2 linked regions of the Elephas maximus indicus genome follow. The protein of the gene in region 1 interacts with the protein of each later gene in a pairwise test. Links are inferred from orthologs where the notes say so. Each region holds a gene or a part of one and is shown on either strand. Other genes may lie near its edges. The genes, in order: LONRF1 and TRIM42.

Region 1 (12,585 bases):
ATCCTACCTGACTTGATCTTATATGAAGCTCAGTTAGGATAATGGAAGCTAAAGGATTCTGTGAACTATAAAACATCATATAAATGCCAGTGTCTACTGTTTCAAGCAAGTCCTTTGTGGAATAAGTTAGGATATGAATTTTATTGACTAAATTCAAATCTCTTCACTGAATCTAGTTAAGTGGCTAAGGATATTAAAAGCCCTATATTTCTTTAAATGTATTCAGTATTTACCTAGGATCTGACCAATATCTTTAGAACTAAAGCTTTGCAATATCTATATTTTATTGATGTGTACTAAAATGTTACTACAGGTAGCCCCAACTTATACCAGGGCTCCTTTCCAATGACTTCCTAGTAAGTCCCTTCTGATGTAAGAAACACTTTTTTTTTTTTTCCAGTTTTTGTTATTATTGCCTTTTATTTTCAGTATCTTTATAAATCTGATCTTTGTCTTTGGGGGTTGGAAACATTACCTATAAACATCTAAGAGTGAACATCTGAGAATAACATCGGCAAATTACACGCTGCCACACTGTATGTAGTACATATTGCCAACAATAAATTCACTAAAAAAAAAAAAGTCATTAAGTGCAGTTTGCCTTCACACAAATACGTTGCAAATGGAGGACTACCTGTACTAAATAACATGTGCAGGCAAGGTCAGGATTTAACCATCGTTCTGGTAATAAATACCATGAATGTGGGAGAGAGAAAAGGACAAGATGTGAAATCACTAAGGTCTACATTTTAACTCAGCTAGCTGCAGCACAGCTTGTACATTTTAAAAATATTTTAATTCCTATTTAGTGCTTTTACTGTGTCAGGCACCATTCAAAGCGTTTCATGTGCTTTGATACAATTCTCAAAGCAATTCTATGAGGTAGATACAATTGTCTCTTTTTAAATGAGAAAACCACAATAAGGAGAGGTCAGACAGCTGGCCCAAGGTCTGAGAGCTAGTGGCAGGCTGCAGTAAGACTGAAAACTAGGTAGGTGGCTTCCAGCATCCACAGCTCTCATCACCAAGCTGTACTGCACAGCAATCTTGGGGTGCCTCAATTTTGCTGTAAGGATAAGACTGCCCAGGATTCTGTGTGAGGATCAAATGATATAAACAATGTAACAATACTTGGTAAGAGTCAAGGACTATATAATTAACATTAAAGACAAAAATTTCCCTCCCCAAGAATTTTACATGGAAACTCTGGTGGCCTAGTGGTTAAGTGCTGCAGCTGCTAACCAAAAGGCCAGCAGTTCAAATCTACCAGGCACTCCTTGGAAACTCTACAGGGCAGTTCTGCTCTGTCCTATAGGGTCGCTATGAGTCGGAATCGGCTCAAGGGCACTGGGTTTTAAGAATTTTACATAAAATGTTCTCCCTAAGGTCCTGTATTTTTTAAAAACTGGCTCGAGCTGTAAATTATGCTGCTTTGTTGCCTTTTGGGGGGGGAAAGGGGTGTATACAGGGAGGTGCCAAGTCAGTGTAAAAATCCATTTAAAATAAATTGCAAACAACATAGCATTGTGGGATCATTTCAATAGACTCTTGTTAAGTCTAAAGATTCAATGTAGAAAAGACTTTTACATAACATCCTTGAACACTAAGAAGGCAGAAAGTTACGAAACATCTGAGAGTTAATACCAAAAGATCAATGGATTAAATGTTTTCTAAATATACCTCAATGCAACAGAAACTTATGTAATCTCAATGGGAAACTTGTGATTTTGGCAAAGGTTTTCAAACCTTCTGGTTGACGGATTAATCATGTGTGGGCTAACTGCAGAGGCGATTTTTTTCTTTCTAGCTAGTATTTACTTGTTACATTACAACAATTCTATGAATAAGTTATAGTGAAGGCCTTCATTATTAATAATGAAAGTATTATTAAATAGCTACAACAGTACAATAAATAAATTTCAAATGTCTATCAAAAGATCAAAAGGTCAGCAGTTCAAATCCACCTGGCGCTCCTTGGAAACCCTATGGGGCAGTTCTACTCTGTCCTATAGGGTCACTATGTGTCAGAATCGACTCGACAACCACGTGTTTGGTTTTGGTTATCTAATCAACTCTCAAGAAATCTAACAATTGTACAAATATATGATTTTACTAGTTAATGTTTTTATTTATGCCCATAAACTGTGAAGCACACTGTCTGCACTTTATCAACTCATTTGTTGGCTCTAAGACTTTGTCCTACTTCGCCCTAAGAATTCAAGGGATGCAAGAATGTACACTTATTAACTTAAGAGAAGGTTATAATCATTAGTTCAGTAGTAGTTAATACTGAATAGTGCTGTTGGTAAGTTGCATCCTCTTAATTTATGCTCAAAAAATTATACTGGTGACCAAAAAAAAAAACTTTTTTGGAAATTTATATTAAACATTTTTATTGGATGAGCTACAAAGGCAGCTATGGATCCTGGACCAACATTTAGGAGAAGAGGACCAACACTGAGCAGAACAGTTAGGAGACCTGCTAGCTGCGTGGGTGTGGACCAGCCATTTCACTGCCAGGCTCCTGCTTCTTCCTTTTTAAAATGAGGCCCATGGCGAGATACTACATGGGCTGCACAGCTGAGACCAGCTTCCCCACTCTCCCTCTAGCCCCACCGAGAGGCAGAGCCCTGCGCACACGAATTCTGTACTCCAGATAGATGTCATTTGTTCTGAGTCTATCACTCCCCACTCTCCCTCTAGCCCCTCCAAGAGGCAGAGCCCTGCATACACGAATTCTGTACTCCAGATAGATGTCATCTGTTCTGAGTCTATCGTTCTATTTTCTAAGTGCCTACTCTTCAAAACGATACTGAACGAAAATGGAAATATGTTGACTTTGCGCTTTGAACCCTGAAAGTGTTAAATTATTCAAGTTATTGTCACTAGTTCAAAATGACTAAGCACTTAGGGAAAAGACGAACCAGAATAGACTTTCAGGTACATCGTTCATAAATTTACCTAATTCCTAACATTGTATTTTAAATGTCTTCTTATTTTCTTGGAAATACGCACCTAAGTATTATTCCTTTCCAATATACAAATCCAAACAAAACCAAACCCATTGCCGTTGAGTCAGCTCTGACTCACAGTGACCCTGACTTATCAGGACCCTATAGGACAATAGGGTTTCCAAGGCTATAATCTTTATGGAAGCAGACTGCCACATCTTCTCCCCAACAGTGGCTGGTGGGTTCCAATCGCTCACCTCCCACCTTTCGGGTCAGCAGTCCAGCACTTAAGCACCTGCACCACCAGGGCTCCTTACTCCAATATATAGACACTAAACTCTTGAAATACGCTTATATAACACAAGGCTTATCAACAGCGCCACTACTGACATGTGGGGCGTGATAATTCTTTGTGGTGGGTGGTTGTCCTGTGATGCTTAGCAGCATACTGACTTTAATCAACTAGATGTTAGTACCACCAGTGCCAGCCCAAGTTATGACAACCAAAAGTCTATCCTGGTGGCCAACTGTCCTGAAGAACCCCCCCTCCAGCTGCCTCCAACTGAGAAACATCGACTTAGAAGAACACCTCATTTTACGGAGGGGCGTTGGCCATTGCTTCCTTCCAGCAGACTAAGGGTACCTTAAGCAAAGTGTTAGCCTAAGTTAGAAGACAGAAGCAGCTTCCAGGGGATGAAGAAACAGACAACAGAGCTACAAAGCTCTCCCCACAGTTTGATCAAGAGTGGAAAGGCACACAAAAGCATGGCAAAGTACTCCATCAAAGGCTGCCTCTGTCTTTACAACGACGAGCTAGGTGCATTCGAAAACAAACATATGCGTATATGAAATAGATGAATTGAAACAGGAAGGTGGAAACCTTCAAGAAGAGCGACCAATTTTGAAGGCGTTTTCAGGCAAGGGGTGGCCGCCCCGGCCAGCGCCTGCATCGCCCGAAGCCGGGGCCCGGCAGGGGAGCCTTGGGGTGCCGGAGCCAGAGGAGCTCCCGCCACGCCCACCGGACGTCACCCGTTACACAACTCCCCCCCCCCCCAAGCTTATGCAATTCCGCCCTCCCGCGGCTCCCATTGCCCGGGTGACTTTTGTGGGAGAAGAAGGTAAACGTTGCACGCCTGGCCGCGGGTGGGGGCCTCTCCCGCCCCGGCTGTCGTTCCCCGCGGCGGGCTCCCCAGGGCCCGCGCGGCGGCGGCCAATTCCCGGAAAGCGCGGCAGGAAGCGGGCGGCCGCTCGGGCTGGCCCACCTCCCTGCCCACCGCGCGCTCGGCCGCCTCGGCCCCGGGCCCCCGCTCCGCTCCGGACGCCCGGCGGTGGCCGCTGGCCGAGGGAGCCGGCGAGGGAACTCCGCGCCCGTGCGCCCCTCCCCGCGCCGCGTCACAGTCGGCTCCGAGGGCGATCCCCATTGTGACCGAAGCACTCCGGGGCGCCGCCCCTCCCACACCCGCGCGGACCCCGGGACCCGAGGGGCCGGAGACGGGAGAGGAGGGAGGGCGGGCCGGGCCGCGCCGCTCCCCGCGGTCACCTGCTCGCAGCGCCTCGCAGGCGGCGGCCAGGGCCTCCCGGTAGCGCCCCTGCTGCAGCAGCTCCCCGAGCCGGCCGGCCGCCCGGGCCCTCTCCCGCAGGCCCGGGAACCACTTCTCGGCCAGGTGGTTGAGGACGACGCTGGTCCTGAAGCCCGAGGCGGCGGCCGGGGGCGGCGGCCCCTGGGCACCGGCGGCCGGCAGGCGGGCCCGGCAGAGGCGGCAGTGGGCGCGGAGCTCTCTCCGCAGGCAGCGGCGGCAGTAGCTGTGGCCACAGGGCACGGTCACCGGCTCGCTCAGGAAGCCCCGGCAGCCCAGGCAGCTCAGGAGCCCGGCGGCGCCGGCCTGGGCGCCCGCAGCCGGGGCCGCGCTCCAGCGCAGCCCGTGCCGGAGCCGGTAGTTGAGCACCAGGCAGTCCACCAAGGTGCCGAGGCGCTCGGGCCTGCCGGGGGCCCCGCGGCGCAGCGCCGCAGAGTACGCCTCCAGCGCTCCCTTCAGGTGGCCGCCCAGCGCCAGCAGCTCGCCGCGGCGCAGCAGCAGCTCCCCGCGCTCCAGCCGCTCGCCGCTGCCGCCGCCCACTGCCCAGCGCCGGGGGGCCACCTCGCGGCTCCCCCCCGGGCCGCTCCTCGCCACCGCCGGAGACGACATGGCCCGCGGACGGCTGCTGCTCCGCCGCCGCCGCCGCCGCCCCGCTCCCGGAGCCTCCGGGGCGCGCGGCTCCGCACGCGGCCCGCGAGCAGGGGGGCGTGGCGCGCGGACACGGCGGGCAGCGCGCGCCCGGGAAGCCCCGGAGGCGGGCCGGGCCGGGCCGGGCCGGGCCGGGCGGGGCGGGGCGGGGCGGGGCCGGGCTCGGCTCCCCCTCGGCCGGCGACAACCGACCGCGCGGCCCCCGCCCCTCGCGAGCCCCTGCTGGCGAGGACCGAGGTCAGATGATCCCCCAGCGCCGATCCAATTGGCTTCTGAGGAAAGAAGGGCCCGGCTAGTTGTTGGCGAACAAAGGACCTCCCTCCCCTTCCCTAACCGCCGGACTTCCCCACCTGCTAGGCCCTCTGCCCTCGTCTCTCCTCCAGCCCCTGCTCGGCCGGCCCTCCGGCCGGGCAGCCAGCCTCGCGGGTCTGAGGCTTGAAGGACCGACCTTCCCCTGACACGCCCGCCCACCTGGGTGGGGACCCGAGGATCCGCCCCCAATTCCTGGCTGGTGGGAGCCTGCACGCGTGGTGGGGCCGTCGTCAGGTGCAGCTCTGCTTTACGCCCCAAGTTACAGATGGTATGTACAGGCAGAGGGCTTAGGGATGCGTCAAGTCAGCCGCATGACTTGGTGACTCAAAACTTTAGAAACAAACGAACAAAACCAGCCACGTTCCTAAGGCGACTGCCCTCCAGAGAGCAAGGCAGTTAGCCCTGATGCCAAGTTACTGCTTTTCCTGTTTAAAACCCAGCCCCTAGCTCGAGGGGGGAAGCCCACAGGTTTCTGGTATGCCAGCTGTATTCGCCACACCTCAGTCACTGCCCCCAGTGCCGGCTAAGGTCTATAAAAAAAAAAAAAGGTCTATAGGGGGTGGTTTTAAAAAGAAATGAGGAAAAAATGCTTTTCATATGGCAGGGTTACTATATCACTATGACCCAAGCAGGGTCTGCATTTTGACAACAGAAGAAAATGACCTGATTTATATATAATGGGTTATATTGACTTTAATTAAACTTGACAGTGGCAAGTTTAAAGCTCTCAGTTGAAAACGTTTATAGATTTGATTATATACTAGATTGTCAATGCCGGAAGTGACTGGAGAACTTTTAGTCCTTTTTCAAATGGAAAATGGTGGCCCAGAGAGGGGAAGTTATTTGCCCCAAATCACACGGCTAATATTCTACAGAGGTTTTAAGGTCATCTAATTCTCATTCCACTATTATGTTCCTACGTTAGATTCTAGAAATAATTTACACGAGATTTCCAAAGTAAAGGGAGTTGCTTACTGGAATGTTAACCTGAGCATGCTTTGTCTGAAATTGGCTAATATTTAATTAATACCCCTCTACACACAACAGCAGTTAGGACTCAAAACCACGTTTTCAATCCCGTTTGTTTTTACTACACACTGAGCAAATCATGTAATTTCAGAGAAGGTGTAGCTCTGTTTCCCCAGAAGGTATGAGGAAGAAGAGTTGACTGAGAAAAAGTTGAGGCTCCTGCTTCAACCCAGTGCAGAGGAAAGCAAGTTCAGTTATCATTCACGTGGCACCCAAAGCAAATTATGGCTAAGCCCCCCCCCCAAAAAAAACCCATTGCCATCGAGTTGATTCCAACTCATAGCAACCCTATAAAAAATAAAACTCATAGCTGTCCAGTCAATTCTGACTCACAGTGACCGTATAGGGCAGAGAGCAGAACTACATTCATAAAGTTTCCAAGGAGTACCTGGTGTATTCGAACTACCGACCTTTTGGTTAGCAGCTGTAGTTCTTAACCACTAAGCCACCAGGGTTTATAACCCACTAAAACCAAACCCACTGCCATTGAGTCGATTCAGAGTAGAACTGCCCCATAGAGTTTCCAAGGAACGCCTGGTGGATTCGAACTGCTAAACTTTTGTTTAGCAGCCGTAGCACTTAACCACTATGCCACCGGGGTATCCACCAGGGTTTATAAAAAAAAAAATGGCAACTCCTAATTATTTGGGGGAAGGGGTTAGTGTGATTAATTCATGATCATAACCTCAAATCTAATCCCAACTCTTTACATTGCTACCTTCTCTCAATTAGCAAAACAATGACGTTAGTCAGATGCCCACACACTCATTTGAGACTTGAAACCGTAAGTCCCAGAAAAAATATCCCTATGCTTGTGAACATTAACTTTTAGGGTGCATTCTTGTCATCAAGAGCAACTTGCAACAATGTACAGTGGTAAATATTTAATAAATAGATGTTTTTATGGTCACACAAGGAGTATAAGACATTGATACATATGCATAAATTACCAAATACAGATTACTCCGGTTGTATTAGGGAATTTCCCCCCAAAGTCAAATGTGTGATTCAGAAAAGACTGTGAAGTAGCATTTGTCCTTTGGAGTTTCTTTCCCTCATAAGTATGACAAATCTCCAAATCTAATTCTGTTGTGAAATAAAATGGCACAATTATGAGAATGTGAGAAAAAGGGGGGGGGGCTGTAGGAGGAATCTAGCCATGTTCTCCTTGGCATTTGTGAATGGTTACAATTGATGTTTTCTGGTTTATACATTTACATAACTCCTTCGCATTTATGTAACTTATTTATGTAAGAGGCTGTGCTGCTGCTGTGGTCTGTGTGCCTCGCACACCTTCCCTCTGAAGCCGCAAGTCAGTGTGGGGCAAGGCAGTCTCGGCGATGTCTCGGCGATAGAACGGGTCATTCTCCAGTTATTCTGTGTCACCCAAAAGAGATATGCAGTTGAATGTGGTTTCTGTTTAAATTCAAAAGAGAGAGAAGTTGGTGTCTTTCTTCATTCATTTTCTAAAATTTAGACTTTGGTTTCTGACTCACTGGGGAGAGGAGGAAATTCTGTGAAGCAGCGCTTGGCCAGGAGGAGAGTGACGGGGCGAAGCTCTGCCTCTTTTTCCTTCCAGCATTATTCTCTCCTGATATTCTTTGCTCACAAAGCAGTGAAATCAGGAGATTTGTATTTCATCTCAGTTTTTTTAGTGTTGTCTTCTAAAATGAGATCAGTTATGTAAGAGAGTACCAAGAAACACGTAACTGTTTCCTAATTTGGAAAATGCTTATCACCATCCTTCCTGCTTATCCCTGTCCCCCACCCCCCACCACCACGCCACAAGAAGACCGTTCTGATGTAGTTAAAGTAAACTCTATTTAGCAGTAATGTAACAGGGCTTTCCTTGTACATAAGTTAGCCGAACATGTGCATTGGAACCTCTTTTTTTTTACATGGGTGAATTTATCATTTGTTTCTTCACATCTTATCTTTAAAAAGGGGAGACTGAGTTTAAGCTATGAAGAAAAAGAGCCAAGCAAAATTACCTCCACTTCCTCTGGTTCATTTCAGTGGATAACATTCTACACGATATATTGAAAACAGTGAACTCTAAAGTTTCATCAGTACATACCAATAGTGTTTTTATATATACAGATGGGAGGGGCATTGAGACCACCTCTTCACAGCCCTCATTTTATACAGGAGACAGCTAAGATCCGAGAAGCTGCTGGTTTACTAGAAGGCATACCGAAGAGGGCATCCGGACGTGGTGCTGACCGTATTGATGCCTCTGTACCTGGGAGGAGCTCACCTGGCTTCGCTGGGCTTCATTTGCCATCTGAGGGAACTGGAAGGATCTCTAAGGTCCCTTGCACCTCTGGAGCTGAGCCCCAGGAATTTGTCGGAATCCAGTGAGAAGAGGCAGAGCCTCCCAGACTCAGGAACACAGCAATGTGACACCTGATGAAAATGTAACAGCAGAAGATGAAGGCTGAGAATAGACGAGGGAACCAAGGAGCACACTTGTTTTTAGCGAGCTCTCAGCCCTGCTCAGCAGAGGGGAAATCAAACTCTGGAACGTAAATTTTTTCAGTGGTTGGATAGGGATCACTCACACGTGCACGTACACACACACACACACCCCCCTCCTTGTCCCTACTGTAGATCTGTGAGAGGCTGAAGGTAAGCCTCTGGGGGGAGGAGTGGCTGGTTATATAATCTGGGCATTTGTGAGAAAGTTTATATAAGATGCTAAAAATACACAGTATATGATTGCTATAATGGTGTTCTCAGCAAAGAGCCCGAATGAGGATAACCTGAATAGGTTAAATAGAGGTGATGGTAAGTAGAAGCCTAAACTTAATTTCTTACAATGACTTCTGTCTCACCAAGTACAGCTCACTGTTAAACTACACTGTTATCCCACAAGGGATACTGTGAAAATGCTCAAGGGACAATACCCTTACCAAGGATACTATTCTGAATTCTTCTTTAACACTCTGAAGAATCTAGGTATACTAAATGCATATGCTATATTCTGGAGAAAAAAGACTGGTGATATACTTCTGAAAAATCAGTGGATGAAAAAATCCTATGGGTCACAATGATCTGATTCGGTTGTCCATGGGGCTGCCCTCAATCAGGGCTCGACGTGACAGCAGCTAATAACAACAAGAACATCCTGTCTTCTGTTTTGTTGGGAGTCAAATCGAGAAGATGAATGCATTTGCAAATATTAAGATGTTAAACGGAAATAGACAAAGGAATACATCCCATTATTTTAGCAAGTTCTAAGAACTGATGAATAAAATCTCCCAGTGCTTCCTGTTTTCTTGCCTTGTATTTTCCACCCTTTGGCACTAATGTCATCTGACATTTATATGTATTTTTCTTCCTTAAGAATGTAAAGTCCTGCCCATCATGTTCACCAATGGGTTTCTAACACCTAGGGCATGGGGAAGATAGTAGAGAATCACTGTTGAACTAATAGCTACACAAATTAAAGACATCACCTAGTACTCTTCATTCTTCTTAGTGACGAAAACTCACTAACATACTGTTGTTGTTGTTGTTGTTAGTTGCCATTGCATTGACTGCAACCCTTGGTGACCTTATGTGCAACAGAACAAAATGCTGCTTGGTCTTGTGTCATCCTTACAATCACTGGCATGTTCGAGTCCATTAGTCCTGCTACTGTGCCAATCCATCCCACTGAGGGTCTTCCTTGCCCTCATTGGACCTCCACTTCACCAAACACAACGTCCCTCTCCAGTGATGTGTCCAAAGCAAGCAAATCTAACAATGTTCTATTGTGATCCATAAGGTTGTCATTGGCTAATTTTCAGAAGCAGATCACCAGGCCTTTCTTCCTAGTCTTAGTCTGGAAGCTGTGCTGAAACCTGTCCACCATGGGTGACCCTGCTGGTATTTGAAATACCAGTGGCGTAGCTTCCAGCATTGTAGCAACACAGAAGCCTCTACAGAATGACAAACTGACAGACGGTGGTGGATTAACACACTGGTACAATTTTATTTCCTCCATTTCTCCTCTCTGTCTCTCACACTGAACATCTGGTCTGCCAGAAAATCCTTTTGGTTCTACCTTCAGAATATACCCAGAGTCAGTCTCTTCTCTCCTCTCCGCTGCCACCTCCCTGTTCCAGGCTACCAGCATCTACCAATTGAATTACTGCCACAGACTCCTGCCTGGCCTCTGTTTCTCTCATTTCTCCCTCTGTTCCATTGTCAAGTCAGGAACTGTGATCATCTTAAAGCATAAACTCCCTTGCTCTCCAAAACACAGCTCAGGAGACAATCTGCAGTCCCAGCTGTGACGCAGAAGTCGGCGCTTAAGTCTGCCTCCACCCTCCACCTCTGATCTCACCTCCCCCTGGTATCCTTGTTCCTCACTCCTCTCCAGGCTCACTAGCCTCTTCACCAAGGTTCATAGCTCAAGGCCTTTGCGCTTCCTGCCCTACACACTTTACAACCCTACACGCCCTTCACCACAGCCTCTGTTTCTTGATGCCTTCACTTCAGTGACCCCTGGGCTTCAACCTCAATCCACAACTGCTGTCTCCCTCTGGGGCCTGCACCAGGCCCCGGTGTGACCTGCCGTGCAACAGAGCCCTTTTTGTCCTCAGGGCAGAGACATGGTCTGTTTCCCCCGACCCCAAACACAGCAAGACCACACAGCCAACTGAGGGCAGCCCGTCTCCCCCAGGACAGGAAAGAACCCAGGGCAGGGCCCACCACTCCCATGGTGAGCCTGTAAGTGTTTTGGTTTTTTCAAATACAAAATATGAGATTTCACTTCAGGGGCCCAAATTGCCTTCATTTTCCACTGGAAAATTATCAGAATTATCAAAATTTGTTCAGAGATTACAGTCTCCCTGAGCTGGAAGGAACTTTAGAAATATCTATTACAACCCCTTCACTGTAAGTAGCAACCGTGGTCTGTTTGTCACACTGTGGTGGCTCATGTGTTGCTGGGATGCTGGACACTATGCCGCTGTAGATATTCATTCCTTTACAACTATCAGAATAAGAAATTACCATGTGTCGGGAGCCCTGGTGCCACAATGTTTAAGTGCTTGACTGCTAACCAAAAGGCTGACAATTTGAATTCACGCAGCGTCTTGACCAGATAAATACCTGGTAATCTACTCCCATAAAGATTAAACCCAAACCCATTGTCATCGAGTCAATTCTGACTCATTGTGACCCTATAGGACTGCTGACCTTTTGGTTAGCAGCTGAGCCTAGAAAATCTTATGGGGCAGTTCTATCCTGTCACATAGGGTCACTTGAGTTGAAAATTGGCCTGACAGCACCTAACAACAACAACATATGTCAGGTACTGTTTTAGGTGCCGTGCTAGTTGTATCGTTTGGTTTCTTTAAGGTCTGATGTTTATAATGGTGCACACAGAACTGGAGAAAACATTGACATCGTCAGTGATTTGATTCTGCTCGGATCAACAGTCAACGTCTGTGGAAGCAGCATCGAGAAATGAAATGATGTATTCCGTTGGACAAATCTGCTGCAAAAGATCTCTTTAAAGTTTTAAAAAGCACAGATGTCACTTTGATGACTAAGGTGTGTTTGACCCAAGTCATGGTCTTTTCACGCATGGTTCCGTCATGTGCATTCAAAAGCTAGACAATGAAATAGGAAAAGAGAAGGAGAATTGATGTGTTTAAACTGCAAAGTATAGTAAGTATAGTGTGGATTGCCAAGAGAATGAACAAATCAGTCTTTGAGGAAATGCAACCAGAATGAATGTTCCTTACAAGCGAGAATGCTGAGACGTCAACTGGCTTGTTTTGGACACGTCATCAGGAAAGAGCAACCATTAGAAAAGGACATCATGTTTGGTAAAGTAGAGGGCCAGTGAAAACAAGAGAGACCCTTGATGAGATGGACTGACGCAGTGGCCACAATGGCTGACTCAAACATACGAGGATGGCACAGGACTGGGCAACGTTCCCTTCTGTGATAACCAAGGTTACCATAAGTTGGAACCCAGTCAACAACAACAACATATACAGACCTAAGGCATTCTTTTTAACTGCTGCCCGATAGGCCATTGTATGGGTAAATTCTGTATAATCACTGCCCCT
Region 2 (13,016 bases), on another chromosome or scaffold:
GTGAGGCCCACGCTGCTGGTCCGTGGACCACGCTTTAAGCAACAGGGTTCTAAACTTCTGAACTCTCTTTAATCCAGTGGGTCTTGACCTTGGCTGCACATCAGAATCACATGGGGAGCTTTTAAAAAAAAAAAAAACCCATTGCTCAAGATGCACCAAACTAATTTATCTGTGGGGTGGGACCCAGGTGGCTCCAGTGGGCAGCCAGGGTTGATCCCTCAGCTCTAAACAATCAGCCCCAACTGGATCTCCTCCAGGGCTCAGAGTTTCTCAAAATACGTTCTTAGACTCCTGCTTTTGAAATTACCTGAAGATTCATTTACAACGCAGATTCAGGGCACCTCCTCAGTGAACTGAGTCCTCAAGAGCAAATTTTTACCCTGGTTAAATGATTTTTTCTTTTTTTTTTTGTTCCTTCAGTAACAATAATAATAAAAAAAAGAAATGGACAGGCTAAATTCCTTATCTATATCTAAATGGATATGCCATGGAGATGACCCCTGCCTCCTTCCTAAATGCTGAGCTCTTGGGGATCTGTACTGGTGTCCCCTACCCTTGGAAACCCTGGTGGTATAGTGGTTAAGTGCTACGGCTGCTACCAAAGAGGTTGGCAGTTTAAATCCGCCAGGCGCTCCTTGGAAACTCTATGGGGCAGTTCTACTCTGTTCTCTAGGGTCACTATGAGTCGGAATCGACTCTACAGCAGTGGGAGTGGCCCCTACCCTGAATGGAACTTCACTGTCTGAAGTTTTCTGGACTCTGAGAAAACTATCGTAGGCTTCTCCTGTGTTAAAGACCCAGGCCCCCTGCAATTTCATGGGGGCCACAGCCCTTTCCCCATGCTTAGGCTGCAGAGAATCCAGCAGAGCCAGATATGGGCACACAGTAAGTTCTACTTAAAGAAAAACCTTAAGGAGCCAATGGGGTTACCCATTTGCTTGGCAACCTGGCTCTTGTAGGTTTTTTTTTTTTTTTAAAATATAGAAGCTTTTCTGGTTGTTCTAAAACAGAATAAATGCCAATTGACAAATTATGTTTCCAGATATTTCTTAGTAGGAATTGAGAAAATCAAGGTAATCCTGAAATATTCATGTTGGTGAGAGGTCCTCGATGACATGACAATTAGCAGAGTCTGTCTCTGACACATATTTGCATTCAAAGCTTAAGGAAAAGTTTCCTCCCTCTTTTATGTTTACGTTCACGGATGTTAATAGGATGGAGGGTAAAATATCTGACAAGGTGGAAGGGCTGGTTTGACCTGGTACACTTTGGTCACTTGACTCTAGGCCATGCCTCAAGGAAATAGATTCTGTGTGTGTTTAATCTATCTTTAGGTTTTGGCCACTGTAGAACAGTTTGTCAATTGAATGTTGTGAAACTAACATGGGCATTACAGTTAGATAGACTGAATTGGGCGTTTACTAGCTGCCTTGTGCCAATTCTTTGAACCCTGGTTGTCTTATTCATGGAGGGGATTCCGATGTAGTACTTCAGGACTATTAATCAGGTGGAGAAGTGCCTGGAAATCATGGAGCTCTTTTCTGAACCTTGTGAAATATTGTTGTACCTGATTTCATCATGGAAACTTGGGTCAGTTTCCCGTACAGAAACTAAATAAATTATATATAGCTGATAAGAAATAAGGAGTCCTCAAGAGACACAAATGGTTAAATGCTTGATTAGTAGCCAAAAGGTTGGAGATTCAAACCCACCTAGGAGTACCTCAAAAGACAGGCCTGGTCATCTGCTTCCCAAAGGCCACACAGTCTTGGAAACCCTCTGGAGGAGCTCTACTGCTTCATACACGGGTTGCCATAAGTCGAAATCGACTCAATGACAACGAACAACAACATGAAATAACCATGAGCAGGTATGCAGAGGAAAAACAAGCTGTAAACAGAATATTATAGGCTATTTCCAAATTTCCTTGTCATTACATGTTTGCTACCGGCTCACTTGCTTTGTTTGCAACTTTTGGGAAAAAACTCATGGGGGAAAACTTAAAGTTGAGATAATTCCCAACATTGACTTAATTCTTTCCCCCAGCAAAGTTGGTAAGTACTGAAGAAATCCAACTTTAGTAAAAAAAATACCTACCTCCAACAGGTTTATAGAACTCAAGGTTCCAAGAGATCAAACCCTTCATTTTTCAATGGGGAAAATGAGTCCTGAGGACATGAAGATAATAACAAAGATGACAGAATTTTGAGCGCTTATTATATGCCAGATACTCTTCTGTATGCTTCACATAGGATAACCAGCTTAATATAACAACCCAACGAGGGTATCACTACTATTGTCCTCATTTCATAGATGGGAAAACCCAGGCACAGATAGGTGAAATGGCTGGTGGCATTTGGGGTTAGCTCAGAGTTTCCCAGTACTTGGGATGCTCCACTAAGTAGAGGTACATCTCTCACTAAACAGACTGCCCCAAGCCATTTCCCCCCTCAGTTCCTGAGCTACTAGTTATTCCGGCGGAGGGCGGGGACTGGAAGGGGACCAGGACCTGCTTTGAACTTGGCGATGGCGCTGAAGAGCGCAGCGGCCCTCTCGGAGCAGGCGTCAATGAGGCTGATGGTGTCGTGGCCGTTGTGCAAGGCAGTCTTGCAGGAGTGGCAGAGAAGCTGGTTGTCGCCACGGCAGTACTCGACGATGCGGCTGGACGGGTGGTGGATGCAGATCTTCTCGTCCTGGTCCTCGGGGCTGGTATCTACGAAGACGTGGTCCTGCATGGCCACGTCCGAATGGAAGGTCTTGAGGCAGTCGTTGCACAGGTTGAGGCGGCAGGTGACGCAGCGCTTGTAGGCGATGCGCCGGCTGCGGCAGACCTGGCAGAGGATGGGCCCGGTGGAGCGGTCGAAACGCCACTTGAGGTAGCCGTGCTCCTGCATGTAGCGCTTGGTGAGGCGCCCGCGCAGGTAGTTCTCGGGCAGCTGCATCTTGTGAGTGTACGGCATGCAGTGCGAGCGGTCGCACACAGGGCAGATGAGGATGAAGAAGTTCTCGGTGACCTCGGCGTGTTTCTGCAGCTGCCGCAGGCACTTCTCGCACAGGCAGTGGTTGCAGGGCAGCATGAAGGAGTGCAGGCGCAGCCGGTTGCACATGGGGCAGGTGAGATGGTCGACCAGGTGGCTCTTTCCTGGTATCTGCTTCGTGATGTCTTCAATTTGGGAATCGCTGCTTCCGATGCGCAAGGCGGTCTTGGAACTGAAAGTGAAAGCAAACACAGGGCTTCAGGAGGCAGGCTCAAGAGCTCCCTCCGTTCCTTGGGCCCTGAAAGGACCTTGGGGTCACAGAACAACAGTCCAGTGTGAAGGTGAGGTGCGTGGACTCAGTGGACAGAGTGCCTGGGTTCCAAACATGCCTCCATCACGTGCTGGCTGGGTGACCTCAGGTTAGTGAGTTAACCCCTCTCTGCTTGTTCCCTCATTACAAAACTAATACCATGTTACAGCCTTTCTTGAAAAGCCGAAATGCAGTTTATACCCGTAGGGACTTACAGAAGTCCCTGGAACACAGTGCCTGCTGTACAACTGCCGTTGTTGTTGCTCTTGTTATTTTTGAACAAGAGAAAAGCAGGCCCTGACAAACAGACCTGGCCTGCGCTATCAGTTAGACCTTGGTGTTCTTCTGTTGAACATAATATCACTGAGCACCAACATCATTCAAAGCCTCTCTGGTACTGTGATGGAGCAAAACAGAAACAAGACGACTCCACAGTCATGTCTGAACTTAGACAAAACCAACAACATTGTCCAAACCACAAAAACGCCCACACATTCCCCTACCCTGGCTAATAGGAGTGGAGTGACTGCTACTTCTTTCCCAACTGCAGCTTTATGCTGTCTTCTTTCCACATTTAAGGTAAGATTTATTAAGATATCCAATAAGAGACTTACACCGACGTTCTCACCTAACATGAGTCCAAATCCTGTAACTTTTTAACGTCCTTTTATGGAGTTACCACACAGTTCCCCATGGTATATGATCTCAGTTGTTGCAATGAGTCAATAAACCCATTTTTTGTTCAGCTAAAAAAATCTGTTGCCATCGAGTCGATTCCAACAAATAGTGACCCTATAGGACAGAGTGGAACTGCCCCATAGGGTTTCCACAGAGCAGCTAGTGGATTCAAACTGCTGACCTCTTGGTAAGTGGCCAAATGCTTAACGACTGCGCCACAACTACAGGTGTGTTATCGGTGGTTTTGCCTGGAGAGTATTGAGATTATTATCATTACTGTCAATAGGATGGAACAGAGAGTAGGGTAGGTAAAGGGCTTTTCCCAGGACATCAGGAGGTCAGTAGTAGACAGGCGTCAACAGCCAAGAACCTGTGTGTCCCAACCACCAGACTAGTAGGTAACAATTCAGAGTCCGGGCTCTAGGGGAAGATTATATGTGATGGAATGTGCCAGCTTAGAGCTGCTCCTTTGGGATGAGTTTCTTAACCTCTCTCATCCTCAGTTTCCTCACTGGTAAGTCAAGGCTCACAATAATGCTTCTGTCATGAGACTTTTACAAAACGTAAATAAGATAATCCATGATAAGTGCTGAACTGCTGGTACGTAGTAAGCTTTCAGTAAATGTGCCCATTATAATTACTTTCCTCTGTTACTAGTTGTCTAAGTCCACAGTAGAGGAAAACAGTGGTCAAGTCCATGGAAAGTGTGTGCTGCTACTGTTCTGGGTGTATGTGTTTAGTCTTTGTCTGCTTACGTTATGCCAAATGCCTGAGGCTGATTTCCTATATTTAACCATAAGAACTATGAGTGAAGTAAAAGCATACTGGTAAAATTCATGTGTGTGTTCTAAGAAGCTCCAACCAGGGCAAAAGCAGTGTATGAAAAGAAATGAATTAGCTGTGGGAATGGAGGGGTAAACACAATTTGTGGCTGTACCTATCCCTTTACCCCCGTTGACATTGATAAGGATTACATTTTGATCTTGACCCTGTGGCTCTGTTCCTTTCTGCCTCGACTTCTTGCATTTTCTGTATGTCCCTGTCTCCAGGTGATTCTAATGCACAGCAAAGTGTGGAAGTCACTGGCCTGAGTCATTTCCCCAAAGCACCAGCCAATATCATCCCAACTCCACTGAAATGGGCTCAGAAACTCTTTCTTGCTGATACATAGAAAACAGGGCAGTTGAGAGGAAAGGGGTTTGTGGATACAATTTTCCACACCCTAGAACTTCCTGACTTGCATGCAGAATCCCTGGATTCATGCAAACAGCAATAAGAGGTCCATGGGTAAAGGGTAACGTTCATTAAGTGTCTACTATGTGCGTAACTGCAAGATGGATCACACTCCTCTACCCTGAATTCACTGAACCTTTGCGCACAGAAGTACTTTTCCAGGCTTGAAAGGCCTCAATCCTGCCTCCCGTTTCTCTGCCTCTCCAAGTCCTGCCACCTTCTAGGGATGAGCTTTCATCTTTCCTCCTCTAAGATGTCTGTCCTTACTTCCCTGTGCTCTGCTCATCTGTGATATAAAAAGACTGGTTTGGCCAAACTAAGAAGAACATACAGAATGCCTGGCATGGAGGGTTAATACCCCAGATGGGTACTTGAGACCCTAAATGTAAAGGCTTGTGGATGGGAAAGAAGGAAAGGCTGGCAGGAGTCACAGGTGCCAAGGTACCTAGATAAGCCATAGGAGTTAAAAGTGGCCGCTGAAAGTCATCACTTACTCAGTAAGTGTTGGCAATATCAAGAGTTCAGAGGAGAAAGGGGAAGAGCAATTTCTGTTTTTATATCACATAACAGGTTACAAAGCATGCCCTCATACCCACCACATCATGGCAGGTATTGTTCTCTCCGTTCTACAGAACGGCCTTTTAAAAGTTAAGAGCATGGACTCTAGGTTCAAATCCTGACTTTGCATCTTACTTGTTGTATGATCCTGGGAAACGTAGCCTCTCAAAGGCTGGGTTTCCCCATGGGTACAGTGAAGATGATGGGAGGGTTAAATGGGGTCCTGCATGCAGTGCCTGACAAGTTGCTGACGCACTCAGCATTAGCCACGGTACTGTCACTGTGTACAGATGAGGAGGCTGAGGGCCAGTGCTGCACTCGGTCATGGAGTTAGTGGAGCTTGGATTTGGAACTCAGGTCTGTAAGTGGTTAGCACTTGTTTAGGATACATTTAATCACTACAAAATTCTTGGTCTCTTTCTTTTCAGGTGGAAAAGTGGGCCCAGGGGGTACCTGGCCTGCCCTGTGGGCCCCGCAGCTGGCACAGGGCCCCTGGTTGTCCTGAGCCAGCGCGACCCCACATTGGAGACGCCCGGCACTTACGAAGTGCGGATGCTCTTGAGACGGCCCTTCTTGAACGTGATGGTGGCATTGCGGCAGCAGCGGCTCTCGTAGTAGTGGCACATGAGATTGCTGCTGGCCGTGCAACAGCACTTGCAGTTGGGGTCGTTGGCCCAAGAGCAGCAGCACCAGTGGCAGTTGGGGTTCTCGGAGCAGGTGCAGTGGCAGCATTGGCAGTTTCGCTCGTCCTTGTAGGGGCAGGGGAAGCAGGTGCAGTTCCGCTCCGAGGTGAAGAGGAACTTGCAGCACAGACAGGAGCATAACCGAGGACAACATCTCTGCCATGTACAACATGGAGAGCAAACACACATAGCAGTCTCCATGGTGCCTACATGATGGCAGCCTGCCCCTTAGGACTTTTGACGCCTCCTCTACCAGAGTCCCGCTGTTACTTCTCCAGTAGAGGGGTCCCTCCTCCCCCTGATGAGGCTTCAGCTTGGTGGCAGCAACAGGTTGGCTGTTAGGAGGCCTTCACAGGTGATGTCCCTACTGGGAGGCTCATGGGCTGTTATTTACGCATATCAGCCTGAGGCTTTTTGCTTATGTCACAATCCCTGTCTCCCCACCATTATCTCACCACCCTGTGTAGGTGGGGCAGGAGGGTGAGACGTTGGGGATGGCAGCGGGTGGACTGATGGACACTCCATGCTTCCACAAGACCAGCTCCAGGGGAGTGATGTTACAATGACATTTTGAAGGTTTAGCTGTCACTCGTCGCCTTTCAGCTTATGGGCTGGATTTCAGAAGCTGTTTCTCCTTGCTTAGTGCTGTGCTTGCAGTTTGGGCAAGCTGACTTCAAGGTATGTCTGCATGGGCTACAAGGCCTGGGTGTAATTAATTGGGAAAGTAGACTGACATGTTTTTCCTCTCCTTGGGCTTTTTCTGCATAGAGAGAATTCTTCATTTGATGAACACAGTGTTTACAAATACTAGCAATGCCACACTTAAAGGGATATCATCATTTGGAGAAAGAATTAGAGGAAAAAAACAGATACAGGCACAATTAGGCACTTTCAATACTTAATGGTTTTGTCAGTCACTGCATAATCGCTGCTGATTTTCATGAGGCTTCAAGTATAAGTCGGAAATCCTGGTGGCATAATGGTTAAAAGTTCAGCTGCTAATCAAAAGGTTGGCAGTTGGCATCCACCAGGCGTTCCTTGGAAACCCTATGGGGCAATTCTACTCTGTCCTATAGGGGCACTATGAGCTGGAACAGACTCGACAGCAATGGGTTTGGTTTTTTGTTTTTTTTTTTTAGTTTCACGTGTAAGTCACTATGAGTGTTTCTTGGTTTTTCTGCAGCTTGATGGAGTCTGGCTGAGGCCCAAGCTCTGTTTACTTTCTCTCAGTCTACTCCCATCCCAGCACCTCTATTAGCAAGAGACTAGAACTTCATATGAGAATCTTTAACTGGGCTGAAGTTTCCTTGTTCTACTAGTATATATACTCTGAATCCCTAGAAACCAGACCTTATATTATAGGGGAGAATTTAGATTTCTACTTTATGTAGCTTGCAGAAATTAAAAGAGCAGACATTTCATGATTATACCACACTGTAATATAAACACTGTCTTATTATTTTCCCAAAACGAAGCAGAAGCAAGAGTTGAAATTTAGCTGCAGGAGTCTTTTGCATAATTTATTATCTCTTCTTATGATTATCACATTCATAATAGGAAAGAGCATTCACTGGGTGCTCTGTGCCAACCACATGTTGAGTCTAGATTCCTACTAGTAAAAATCCTGGGTGATAGGACATGTACTTTATCTTTTTTGATAGATATTATTAAATTGCTTGTTAAAGTGTATGTGCCAGTACATTCTGACAGCAACACTGTATGAGAGACCTAAAAATTAAACAGTTAAACTCATCAAAAGACTTCTCCAAAAGAGAACCTACTATAGACTGGGAAAAAAAAAAATTTGGCTGTGATATAGCTGACAAGGGTCTAATCTCTAAAATTCATAGAAAACTTCAACGCCTCAGCAACAAAAGGAGAAACAATCCAGTTAAAAAATGGGCGAGGGATATGAACAGACACTTCACCAGAGAAGACATTCAGGTGGCTAACAAACACAGGAGGAAACACTCATGATCATTAACCATTAGATGCAAATCAAAACTACAATGAGATACCATCTCATTCCGACAATAATGGGACTAATCCAAACACAAACACACACACACACCACAGAAAATAATAAATGATGGTGAGGTTATGGGGAGATTGGAACTCTTCTACACTGCTGGTAGGAATGTAAAATGGTACAGCCACTATGGAAAACAGTATGACACTTCCTTAAAAAGCTAGAAATAGAAATACCGTATGATCCAGCAATCCCACTCCTAAAGAAATAAGAGCTGTGACACAAGTAGATATATGCACAGCCATGTTCATTGCAGCATTATTCACAATAGCAAAAAGATGGAAACAACCTAAGTACCCATCAGTAGATGAATGAATAAACAAACTGTGGTACGTATACACGGTGGAATACTAGGCAATGATAAAGAATAACGAATCCACGAAACATCTTCCACCATGGATAAATTTGGAGGGCATTACGCTGAGTGAAATAAGTCAATCTCAAAAGAACAAATATCGTATGAGACCGCTGTTAAAAAAACAAGAAAAGATTTACACACACACGTTGTTTTGATGATTACCACCGATGGGAGGGGGAAGGAGGGAAAAATAGAAGACACGTGTTAATATTGGTGAAGGGAAAGGCAATACAAAATATGAGGGAAGTCAGTACAACACGACCAAGGCAAAAGAAGAAACTGAAAGGAATGCGAGAATTAAGGACCCCTACGGTAATTACTGTAACATAGATAATCCTGCAACAATAGTATTAACAGTAATCTATGAATGGATACACAGGTAAATAAGTATGCTAAAGAGGTGGGGGGGTGGGGTGTAAGGGAGCACACCTACCCTGCAGATATAGGTTTGGTTGTGGATATTTCTACATATATAATTGTAGGTGCTGCAAGTATGTTAATATAGACAATAGAGCACACAAGGGGCACAGTCATGGAAATTTCTTAGCCATAACCAAACACCTCGATGAAGTTCCTAGGCTTAAAGGTGAAGGACCACAGACTCGGGGACATCTACTTCAATTGACACAACATAGTTCATAATGACAATTGTCTGCATCCTACTTTGGTGAGTAGCATCTGCGATCTTAAAAGCTTGTGAACAGCCATCTAAGATACGACTAATTATCTCTTCCCATCTGGAAAAGGAGAGCGAAGAAAACCAAATACTCCAGTGAGCAATTAGTCCAAAGGACTAACGGACCACATAAGCCACAGCCTACATGACCCTAAGACTGGAAGAACTAGATGGTGCCCAGCTACCACTACTGATCATTCTGACTAGCATTGCGACAGAGGGTCCTGGACAGAGTGGGGAAAAAAATGTAGAACAAAAAATCAAATTCACCAAAAAAGACCAGACTTACTGGTCTGACAGGGACTGGAGGAACATCTGAGGTTATGGGCCTAAGACACCCTTCTGACCTGGAACTGAAGCCATTACCAAAGAGCACATTTCAGCCAAACCATAGACAGGCCCATAAAATAAACAATAACACCTGAGAGGAATGTGTTCCTTAGAAGTATCAATTATATGAGATCAAAAGGACAACATTTGCCCAAAAGCAAAAATGAGAAGGCAGGAGGTGGTAGAAATCCAGATGAAAGGAAACTGGGAACTCAGGGTGGAATTGGGGAGAGTGCGGACACATTGGGGGAATGCAACCAATGTCATAGAACGCTTTATGTACAAACCATTGAGTGGGAAACTAATTAGCTCTGTAAAGTTCCATCTAAAGCACAATTAAGAAAAAAAAAAGCAACCCAGTGTATGAGAAGACACCTTTTCCCCACGTTTGCCCAAACTAAATTTTACCAATATCCTTCCCCATCTTTCAGGTACAGAGGTTTGAGTTTTACTCCTGGATATATGGTTCATTTTCATCATTGGTCTGTGCAAGGTTTCTCTTGTTTTTTTTTTTTTTGAGATGATTACATACCATAACGTTTCCCATTTTAAAACGTACATTTCAGTGGTTTTTAGTATATTAACAAGATTGCATAACCATCATCATATCTAATTCCAGAACCATATCTAATTTCATCACCCTGAAAAGAAACTCTACCCAATAGCAGCCACTCCCTGTTCCCTCTTCCCCTAGCACCTGGAAACCATTAATCTACCTTCTGTTTCTGTAGATTTGCATATTCAGGATATTTCATAGAAATGAAATTATACAACATATGACCTTTTGTGTCCGACTTTTTTCACGTAGCATTATGTGTTCTAGGTTCATCTATGTCGTAGCATGTATCAGTGTTTCATTACTTCATGGCCAAATAATATTCTATTGTATGGTGTCTTAGTTACCTAGTGCTGCTATACCAGAAGTACCACAGGTAGATGGCTTTAACAAGCAGAAATTTCTTTTCTCACAGTTTAGGTTAGAAGTCTGAATTCAGGGTGCCAGCTCTTGGGGAAGCTTTCGCCCTTTGTTGGCTCTAGAGGAAAGTTTTTGTCTCCTTAAATTCTGCTCCTGGGCGATCTTCATGTGGCGTGGTATCTCTCTTCCCTCATATCTTTCTCGCTTGCTTATTTAATCTCTTTTATATCTCAGAAGAGATTGACTCAAGACCCTAATCCTGCCTCATCAACCTAACAAAAATAACCTACTCCTCATTAACATAACCTAATCCTGCCTCATTAACATATGTTCTTGTTGTTGTTAGATGCTGTCGAGTCGGTACCGACTCATAGCGACCCTATGCACAACAGAATGAGACACTGCCCGGTCCTGTGCCATCCTTACAATTGTTGTTATGCTTGAGGTTGTTGTTGCAGCCACTGCCAATCCATCTCACTGAAGGTCTTCCTCTTTTCTGCTGACCCTGTACTTTACTAAGCATGATGTCCTTCTCAGGGGACTGATCCCTCCTGACAACATGTCCGAAGTATGTAAGACACAGTCTCTCCATCCTTGCTTCCAAGGAGCATTCTGGTTGTACTTCTTCCAAGACAGATTTTGCTCATTCTTTTGGCAGTCCACGGTATATTCAGTGTTCTTTGGCAGCACCACAATTCAAAGGTGTCAGTTCGTCTTCGGTATTCCTTATTCATTGTCCAGCTTTCACATGCATAAAGATGCAATTGAAAATACCATAACTTGGATCAGATGCACCTTAGTCTTCAAGATGACATCTTTGCTTTTCAATACGTTAAAGAAGTCTTTTGCAGCCGATTTGCCCGATGCAATGTGTCTTTTGATTTCTTGACTGCCACTTCCGTGGGTGTTGATTGTGGATCCGAGTAAAATGAAATCCTTGACAACTTCAATCTTTTCTCCATTTATCCTGATGTTGTTTATGGTCCAGTTGTAAGGATTTTTGTTTTCTTTATGTTGAGGTGTAACCTATACTGAAGGCTGTGGTCTTTCATCTTCATTAGTAAGTGCTTCAAGTTCTCTTAACTTTCAGCAGGCAAGGTTGTGTCATCTGCATAATACAGGTTGTTAATGAGTCTTCAGTCCTGATGCCCATTCTTCATATAGTCCTGCTTCTCGAATTATTTGTTCAGCACACAGATTGAATAGGTATGGTGAAAGAATGCAACTCTGATGCACACCTTTCCTGACTTTAAACCAATCAGTATCTTCTTGTTCTGTCCAAACAACTGCCTCTTGATCTATGTACAGGTTCCTCATGAGCACAATTAAGTGTTCGGGAATTCTCATTCTTTGCAATGTTTTCCGTAATTTGTTATGATCCACACAGTTGAATGCCTCTGCATAGTCAATAAAACACAGGTAAACATCCTTCTGGTATTCTGTGCTTTCAGCCCGGATCCATCTGACATCAGCAATGATATCCCTGGTTCCATATCCCCTTCTGAAACCAGCCTGAATTTCTGGCAGTTCCCTGTTGATATACTACTGCAGCCGTTTTTGAATGATCTTCAGCTAAATTTTGCTTGCATGTGATATTAATGATATTGTTCTATAATTTCCACATTCGGTTGGATCACCTTTCTTGGGAATAGGTGTAAATATGGATCTCTTCCAGTCAGCCAGGAAGCTGTCTTCCGTATTTCTTGTCGTAGATGAGTGAGCGTTTCCAGTGCTGCATCCGTTTGTTGAAACATCTCAATTGATATTCCGTCAGTTCCCGGAGCCTTGTTTTCTGCCAGTGCCTTCAGTGCAGCTCGGACTTATTCCTTCAGTACCATTAGTTCCTGATCATATGCTACCTCTTGAAATGTTTGAACATTGACTAACTATTTTTGGTATAATGACTCTGTATATTCCTTCCATCTTCTTTTGATGCTTCCTGCGTCGTTTCATATTTTCCCTGTAGAATCCTTCACTTTTGCACCTCAACGCTAGAATTGTTTCTTCAGTTCTTTCAGCTTGAGAAACGCTGAGCGTGTTCTTCCTTTTTGGTTTTCTATCTCCAGGTCTTTTCACGTGTCATTATAATACTTCCCTTAGTCTTCTTGAGTAGCCCTTTGAAATCTTCTGTTCAGTTCTTTTACTTCATCATTTCTTCCTTTTGCTTTAGCTGCTCAACATTCGAGAGCAAATTTTAGAGTCTCCTCTGACATCTGTCTTGGTCTTTCTTTTCTTCCTGTCTTTTCAATGACTTCTTGCTTTCTTCA

What was found.
Region 2: the proteins of LONRF1 (region 1) and TRIM42 interact in binary tests that used the Homo sapiens proteins (3 or more experiments, as listed by UniProt). The two-hybrid records come from large-scale screens. The link is inferred for Elephas maximus indicus from reciprocal best matches to the Homo sapiens genes LONRF1 and TRIM42.

The regions. Positions count from the first base shown.
Region 1 is NC_064840.1:72,299,961-72,312,545, forward strand, and holds the start of LONRF1 (LON peptidase N-terminal domain and RING finger protein 1), read right to left. Parts: upstream 5,212-12,585; 5' UTR 5,138-5,211; coding exon 4,492-5,137; intron 1-4,491.
Region 2 is NC_064841.1:18,928,078-18,941,093, forward strand, and holds the start of TRIM42 (tripartite motif-containing protein 42), read right to left. Parts: upstream 6,642-13,016; coding exon 6,301-6,641; intron 3,211-6,300; coding exon 2,510-3,210; intron 1-2,509.